Mus musculus: one gene and its partner. The protein of the gene in region 2 binds, or shares a complex with, the protein of the main gene of each other region. Links are inferred from orthologs where the notes say so. Each region holds a gene or a part of one and is shown on either strand. Other genes may lie near its edges.

The links.
Region 1: the proteins of Plekhm2 (region 2) and Arl8b are in contact, whole or in part, in a crystal structure (PDB 8JCA), measured with the Homo sapiens proteins. The link is inferred for Mus musculus from reciprocal best matches to the Homo sapiens genes PLEKHM2 and ARL8B. Residues at the interface, in NP_055979.2 of Homo sapiens: His70, Phe71, Thr72, Arg73, Arg74, Glu75, Glu103, Ser105, Glu107, Ser108, Tyr109, Arg111, Leu112, Glu115, Glu147, Phe148; in NP_060654.1 of Homo sapiens: Glu22, Thr52, Val53, Gly54, Phe55, Asn56, Met57, Lys68, Trp70, Arg77, Phe78, Arg84, Tyr85, Arg87, Gly88, Val89.

What each region holds. Positions count from the first base shown.
Region 1 is NC_000072.6:108,781,798-108,785,709, reverse strand, and holds the start of Arl8b (ADP-ribosylation factor-like protein 8B), read right to left. Parts: upstream 2,652-3,912; 5' UTR 2,456-2,651; coding exon 2,333-2,455; intron 1-2,332. UniProt on the Homo sapiens protein: Small GTPase which cycles between active GTP-bound and inactive GDP-bound states.
Region 2 is NC_000070.6:141,636,408-141,640,219, forward strand, and holds part of Plekhm2 (pleckstrin homology domain-containing family M member 2), read right to left. Parts: intron 3,456-3,812; coding exon 3,269-3,455; intron 1,078-3,268; coding exon 1,018-1,077; intron 1-1,017. UniProt on the Homo sapiens protein: Plays a role in lysosomes movement and localization at the cell periphery acting as an effector of ARL8B.

The DNA of each region.
Region 1 (3,912 bases), on a different chromosome or scaffold from region 2:
TTCAAGGTCAGAGGACCACAGAGTGAAACTCTGTCTCAAAAGAACAAAGACTAGATGAAAGAGAGAAACAAGATAAGCTGGTAGTGTCTAAGGAGTCAGCCTCTTTCTCAGCATTTTAAACCCCCATCGAGTACTTACAGTCCAGCCTTTTTTCTTCTTTCCCGAAATTATTTTTATTCCGGGTGTGTTGGGTGGGGTTCCTTACGGTGTAGCCCTGCCAGGTCTGGTACTTGTTATGTAGGTGTACAACATCAGGCAGACCCTCAAACTTGGAAGCATCATCCTGCCTCGCCTCCTTAATGCTGGAATTACGGGTAAGCATCACCAAGTCTTGGACGTTAACATTTTTAATTGACAGACCATAATTATGTATGTGTGTATGGGGGGGGGGTAGTGTAAAGTTTTATGATATATACAGAATCTGTAATGGCTAAAGTAAGTTAAACATGGCCTCTCTTTTTTTGGGTGATCTTTAACAGCTCACCTACACCACCATAATTCATAAAGAATAGTGTAATATTGATAGCAGGAGGTCGACAGCACTGCTGAGATTGGATAGTTGTTACAAAGAATCTAACTCAAAAGGAAGGGGGGTTGAAGGTGCTTCCTTCCCACAAGCCATAAATCTGCAACCGTAGACAACACTGGCCTGAGAGTCAAAGGAAATGAGCCCGGCTCAGTCCTTTCTCAACGTATCTCCTTGTGCCTGCTTTGGGTAGTACAGCCATCTACATGTTAACACTTCCCTCCTCCTCCTGGTTAGACCTCAGAGCAACTCTGCTAAGGACTCTATTGTTATCTGCACTTCATAGACAAGAAAACAGAAATCGACTCAACCAGACCCAAGGCTGCTAAGATCCAGATTGCAAATCCAGAACTGCATGGCATAAAAGTTCAGGCTTGTTATATATATCAAGCTACACTGCCCAGTGATAATACAGGCATGAGAGTAAGCAGTACATCTCTTAAATCCTACTCATTGGTGCAGGTCCTTGCATTAACTCCTCCGCAGCAAATACAACTGGCCATCCCAACACACCCACGTGTACCATTTCGATCTTGCCCAAGGGACAGGAGTCCCGAGGAAACTCCAATTCTTATCTAGGGTAACAGAAAATGAACAGCTTGAAGCCTGTAGAAAAGTTCTAGTATGAAAGAGTCTAAAGTCTGTTCTGCCTTGTTCTCTTGGGGTCGGGGTAGAGGCAACATAGAAAGAGCCTAACATGAAGTTCGGGAAAGTTTCCTTACACTTATATATTCAGCCATCTTCGAAAGAGATTTGAGCCTCCGCTCCTCTCTCTGACGCCTGTTGCTCTATTACTACAGGGACTGAGTCACACGTTACCTAGGTTTTCCCAGGGCAGTGTGTAGCCAAACCAGTCGGGCAGCTCAGCTGTCTCCTGTGTGAGGATTGCAACAATCCTCTTGAAGGTCTAGGAACTGCCGCCACTTCTCATCAGAACAATTGTAAAGCTCAACCCTCTAAGTACAGCCCTAAAACTGTGCAATGACTCCTTGGCTCCAAAGACTGACATTCACGCCCATTCCTTTCCCAACCAATCAAAGACGCAAAACTCAACGACCACTCTCCCACCGAATTCACATTATATTTACTAGGCAACTTCCCTGAGCCTCCATAAGCTACGTCCCAATCCAAACAAATTCCTTCTGCAAGAGGGAAGAAAAAAAAAAATCTCTCTAAAGACCAAAGCCTGCAAACTTTATGTTGAATGCAGATCCATCTATCTACCCGTTTAACACAATCAGCTGTGGAGAAACCGAGACTCGCCTCGCCCTTGCTCCCTGTCTTAGAAAATACTGGGATCTGAATGGTCTCTCCAACAGCTTCCCCCAGTAAGCTAGGTCATCAGTTTGCTCTCCGACGCTCCATGGACAAGTGACAAAGACCAAGCGAACTGGAGGCGCCGAGGCTCCCCCTGGCATTCACAGAAGCGCCCACACGGGTTGCCTGCTTTCACAATGCGACTCCATCGTCCCAAGTGGAGACTTAGGAGAGGCGTCCCCTTCGCAGGCGTTCTGGAAAAGGCCAGGCTCACCCGTCCGGGTGAACAAGTGACAGGTTGGAATTAACCCTTCAGCCTCTACGGCCCGAAAGGCAGCAAGTGTGGCAGACTCGGATTAACCCTTTCCAGGCCGTGTTAAAGGCACAGCCCCCACCACCACCACCAAAACGCAACGTGGAATTGACCCTCCTGCTGCCGACCCTCCGGCTACAACTCCGAGGCCCACACACGCAGGATCGCCCGGCCCGGCCTTCGGGGAGGTGACAGGCGCGAGACGCCGGCCAGGCCGCCCGCAGAGGGCTGCTCACCGCGATGACATTGACGAAGGTGGTCTTGCCGGAGTACTGCAGCCCCACGAGCGTCAGTTCCATCTCCTCCTTCCAGAAGAGCGAACGGAACCAGTCCAGCAGGCGGGAGATGAGCGCCAGCATGGCGGCGGCCGGCTGCGAGCGTGGACGGGCGCGGACGACAGCGGACACTCTTTCCCACGAGCGGGTATCGGCCCCGAACCCGCCAACGGCTCTTCGGCGGGGCCCCTGGCGCGACGCGGGCAGACAGAGGCTGGCGGCAGCGACGGCCGGAGCCAGGAAGCCCAGCGGGTCATATGACTCGCCCTACCCCCCCCACGCCTGGCCCAGCGCAGGCGCGGAAGCGCACGGAAAGAGCGGCGCGGTCCCGTAGACTCCCAGCGCCCTCCGGCGACATCGCCACCTGATGGTGAATCCCACGACACACCCTTCCCTCGCCTTGGTGCCAATTCACTTGTCACATGCCTTTCCTCTTTTCTTTTCTTTCTTTCTTTTTTTTTTTCCCCCCAAATTATGGGTCTCCCAGCAAACGCATGTCAACAATTTCAGTACTTGAGAGGTGGAGGCAGGAGGATCAAGAGTTCAATAAACACAGAAGGTGGGGTTACAGAAATGACTCGGTGGTTAAAAGTGCTTGAGGCTCTTTCAGAAGACCCAAGTTCAGGACCCAGCACCCACACCTGGCAGCCCTCATCAGCCTGTAACTTCAACTCTGGGGGATCCAGATCTAGGGCTTTCTGACCTTGTACATTCTGCAAACATATGCGCATACTCCCACAACGAAACACATAAATAATAATAATCTTTAAAAAAAAACAAAGAGTTGGTCCTCGTTCACTTTTTGATTGAATTTTCCTATAATTGTTCATTGGCAATGTACCCTGAAGGAAAAAGTTAATACTCGGAGGAATTGAACACGGAATAAAAAAAAAAAAAAATCAGAATCTGGGATGGGGATGTAACCCAGTGGTAGAATGCTTGCCTGGCCTGTATGGAGCACTCTGGGTCTAACTAGGGCTCAAGGGAGGATGGGGCAGAGGCAGTGATCCGAATGTAAAGTGAATAAATAAATGAATTAATTAATAGGGAAAATTTCTTTCCCAGCATGTGAAAGACACAGGGTTTGTTTCTAACACAGCAAAACATTAGTGACAGCAAAATCCCTGCCCTCCTGCGGGTTACAGTCCAGTGTGGAGAACAGAACATATACAGCAAACAAACGAGAAAATGCCACGTGGTACTTAACACTATAAAGAAGAGGAACAGAGAAGAAGCTGGAGCCGGCCTGCTTGTCTTTAAGTCAGGTGGTCCTGAGTGGAAAGGCTTGAGGGAAGTGAGAAGGAGAAGCAGGCTGACGTTTGGTAGAAGCACATTCCAGGAAAAGACCCTGAATGGGGAAGGACAGTGAAGTGGTTTGGACTTTGAAGGATGGTGTGCCTGGGGCGAGGGGGAAATGATGGAATTATATTTTAACTGAAAATATATTTTTAAAAAGGAACTCCAGCTGGCTGCCCCAACTTCCCCAGTTGATTTCTGCTTCATATTTGTAAATCTCTAACTTAATGGATGCTTTCTTTGTT
Region 2 (3,812 bases):
CAAAGGTAAGGTGGTTCACACTCTACATCACATGGGAAATCAACTCTCTCTCTCACTGCTCAGAGGGACCCCACCTCAGGCAAGAAGGGGTCCCCAGGGCAGGAGCTCTTTAGGAAGGGATTCTGGGACAGCCTTAGATTTAAGGAGCACACGTTTACGATATCAAACACAGACCATGCTCTGAGTAAGTCGTACAACCTTGGAGTGTGAATTTGTCCAAACCCAGACATGGGTTGCTGGTAGAAAAATGTCTCCACAATATTGATGTTCAGTAGACAGTAAGAATCTAAGAGAACCTCCATATTGACTTATTAATGGGACAGGGCATGCTGTGTGTGTATGCAGAGGTTAGAGGATGCTGTGTGTGTGCAGAGGTCAGAGGATGCTGTGTGTGTGTGTGCGCGCGTGCGTGTGTGTGTGCATGCAGAGGTCAGAGGCTGGCTTGGGGAAGTCAGTTCTCTCCTCCCACTTGTGGCTTCCAGGGATAGAATTCATGTGGCCATGCTTGATGCCAAGCGCCTTTGCTTGCCAAGCCACCTTGCTGGCTCTCCCTGTAGGGCATTTTAGTTATGCCTGGGCAGTTTCCTCAGTCCATTAGGGATTGCCTGAAAGGACCAAGCCTCCATCTTCCTCCTGGATACTCACAGGGTAGATTGCTCACAATCCCTGTATCTCAAAGCATCACTTTTCTAGAATAAGTTTCCACTTCACCGAGCCAGGCCACTGACATACACTGTTTTACAATGACAAGGACTGGAATCGGGCAGGTGGCCTAGTGTGTGTGCCACACTCACTAGTAACTTCCAAGGCTCCCGTGGGAAAGCAAAAACTTCTGAGAGAAGAGCTAAGGGCCAAGTTTCCTACTGCAGAATTCCACCTACTCCAACACCAGCTGTGGCGTCGTTATGACCACGGACATTGTTATAAGAAATAAGGAGCTGATTCTGAAACATGCAGCAAGCTTGGCATGGCAACGTTGCAAACAGGAAAAGAGGGTCACAGAGGACTCTGTCCCACCTTCCCAGTCTGTGCTGGGTACAGACGGCACTGCTGGAAACACATCTCCAAAATCATAATCTATAAAAACGAGGGATAAAACTCAGGGTTAGAAACAGGCAGTGGAGGGAGGGACGTCGGGGCGGAGGGCGGGAGACACAGGAGAAGAGACGGAGAGGAACTCAGTACATATTCTCTAACTTGCAACTATGACCTCGGCTGCCCTGAGGGCCACTCCTTCCCAACTCAGAGCCTGCTCTGGCAGAAAAGAGTCTGAGTTTCTACTTCTTGCCTTCCTTCCCTCCATGGCTCTTGTGGAAACAAGGTCCTGTCCTTCTGCCTTGAGTTAGACAGTATAAATCGCTGGGCTTAGCGGGGACCTTTATTCATGGGTGGCCTGGTTGCTTCTTCAAGGTTTGTCCCTCTGACTCCTCCTCTAGGGTAGCCCATGAGGCCCAGCCAGAGTCTGAATGTCCTCTTCCCTTGTTCCATATGCAAATAAGCAGTGCAAGTCTTTTTATTACTAAATTTTTGAAACCTTTTCATGAAGCACAGGCTGATCTTGAACTTGCTACATAGTAGAGAAAGACTTCGAATTTCTGATCCTCTTGATTCTACCTCCCAAGTGCTGAGATGGCAGGTATCTTCCCCTATCATGGTGTGTGTGTGTGTGTGTGTCTGTGTGTGTATGTAAATCAGAGGACAAGCTTCAAAAGCCACTTCTCTCCTTACATGGTGGGTTCCCGGGACCAGCGTCACGTGGTCAGGCTTGCCTGGTGTGATTTTTAGCCACTAGGCCATCTCACTGGCCCCAAGCCTGGGTTTGTGCAACGCTGGGGTTTGAACCCAGAGCTTCATACACACTAGACCAGCGTTCTGCCCCCTGAGCTACACTGCTAGCTCCTGCAATGCAGATCTTACTCACAGCAAGTCTCAAAGTTGGGCATATGACCCATGGCACAGCAGAACAAAGAATGGGGAAGGTCAGGTCTCAAGGGAGCAAGGCCAGAAGAACTGAGTATCTGACCCCCTGACCCCCAGAGGTGACCCCCAGAGGTGAGGCCGAGTGAGTGAGGGCGTCTTTGATCTCACCAAAGTGGGGCAAAGACCTAAGGTCTGGGGAAAGCCAGGGTTTTCTTTTCTTTTCTTTTCTTTTCTTTTCTTTTCTTTTCTTTTCTTTTCTTTTTTTTTTTTGTTTTTTTTTTTTTGTTTTTTTTTTTTTTTTTCGAGACAGGGTTTCTCTGTGTAGCCCTGGATGTCCTGGAACTCACTCTGTAGACCAGGCTGGCCTCAAACTCAGAAATCCACCTGCCTCTGCCTCCCAAGTGCTGGGATTAAAGGCGTGTGCCACCAACCGCCCGGCAAGCCAGGGTTTTCTAGCAACTGATCTGAGATGAAGGGGTCCGTCCGCCTATGGCTCCTCAGTCTCAGGACAGGTGCAGCCCTCTCTGACCCATGGAGGGACACTAGCAGGGACTGCCCAAGAAACTGTGCTGGTTCTGCCCCCCTCAGACCACCTGTCTGTCTCTCCTGAGCTTGCTCAGCCTCTCTGTAGAACCTGCTGCAGGGCACCCCTCCCCAGGCAGCTGATGCTCAGCCAGGACTCAGGCAAGAGTTTCAGGGCACACTGCTGCACATCTCTCCTTGACCCGGGCATGAGGTTAGAAACTTCTGGAGAAGTTAGTAAGGCTCATAAAACCCGACCGATGTTTTTTAGCTACCACAGAAACCAAGGAAATGACGATCTTGGAAATGGTCAGCTCTGTTCAACTGGGAGGGAGCAGGCATGCTCAGTCGGGTGTCGGGCTCAGTGGGGGCTCAGTCATGCTCAGTGGGGCTCAGTCGGGCTCAGTCGGGCTCAGTCATGCTCAGTTGGGTTCAGTCAGGCTCAGTCAGGCTCAGTGGGGCTCAGTGGGGCTCAGTCGGGTTTAGTCAGGCTCAGTCGGGCTCAGTGGGGCTCAGTGGGGCTCAGTCAGGCTCAGTCATGCTCAGTTGGGTTCAGTCAGGCTCAGTCGGGCTCAGTGGGGCTCAGTGGGGCTCAGTCATGCTCAGTTGGGCTCAGCTGGGTTCAGTCGGGCTCAGTCATGCTCAGTGGGGCTCAGTCATGCTCAGTCGGGCTCAGTGGGGCTCAGTTGGGTTCAGTCGGGCTCAGTCATGCTCAGTGGGGCTCAGTCATGCTCAGTGGGGCTCAGTCATGCTCAGTCGGGCTTAGGAGGCTCCAGGGAATGTTTCAGGGCACAGGCCTGGTTCCTTTCACCCCAGGGCCACTTACCCTCGCTAGATGGGGCAATTGCACTGTCGTCCCATTCCAGGTTGGTGGAGGTGACAGAATTGAAGGAGTTTAGGGAGAGGCTGTCTGAACCGTGGACTGAGCTAGGAAGGCGGTCTTCAAAGTCCAGCAGGTACTGAGGTTTATAATAGTCAGGCATGTACGGAGCCAGGTCTAAGTACGGGGCGTCCTGGAGAGAGAGCACAGGAAGAGAGAGATGTGCACAGGAAGAGAGAGATGTTGGATAGCAGCCTGGGGGTCAGGCAGCAAACAAGGCTCGGTAGCAGTCAGTAGACCCAGGACGGGAAAATGGGGATCGCGCACAGACACACACCTGACATACACACACACAAATACACATGATATGCACATATCACACACACACACACACACACACACACACACACACTCACACAACAGACATAGACACACACAGACACATGATACACACAAACAGACACAGACATACAGATAAAACACACAGACATGCAGCATATAGACACACAGACAGACATACACCCCCAACACCCCACACAGACACACACAC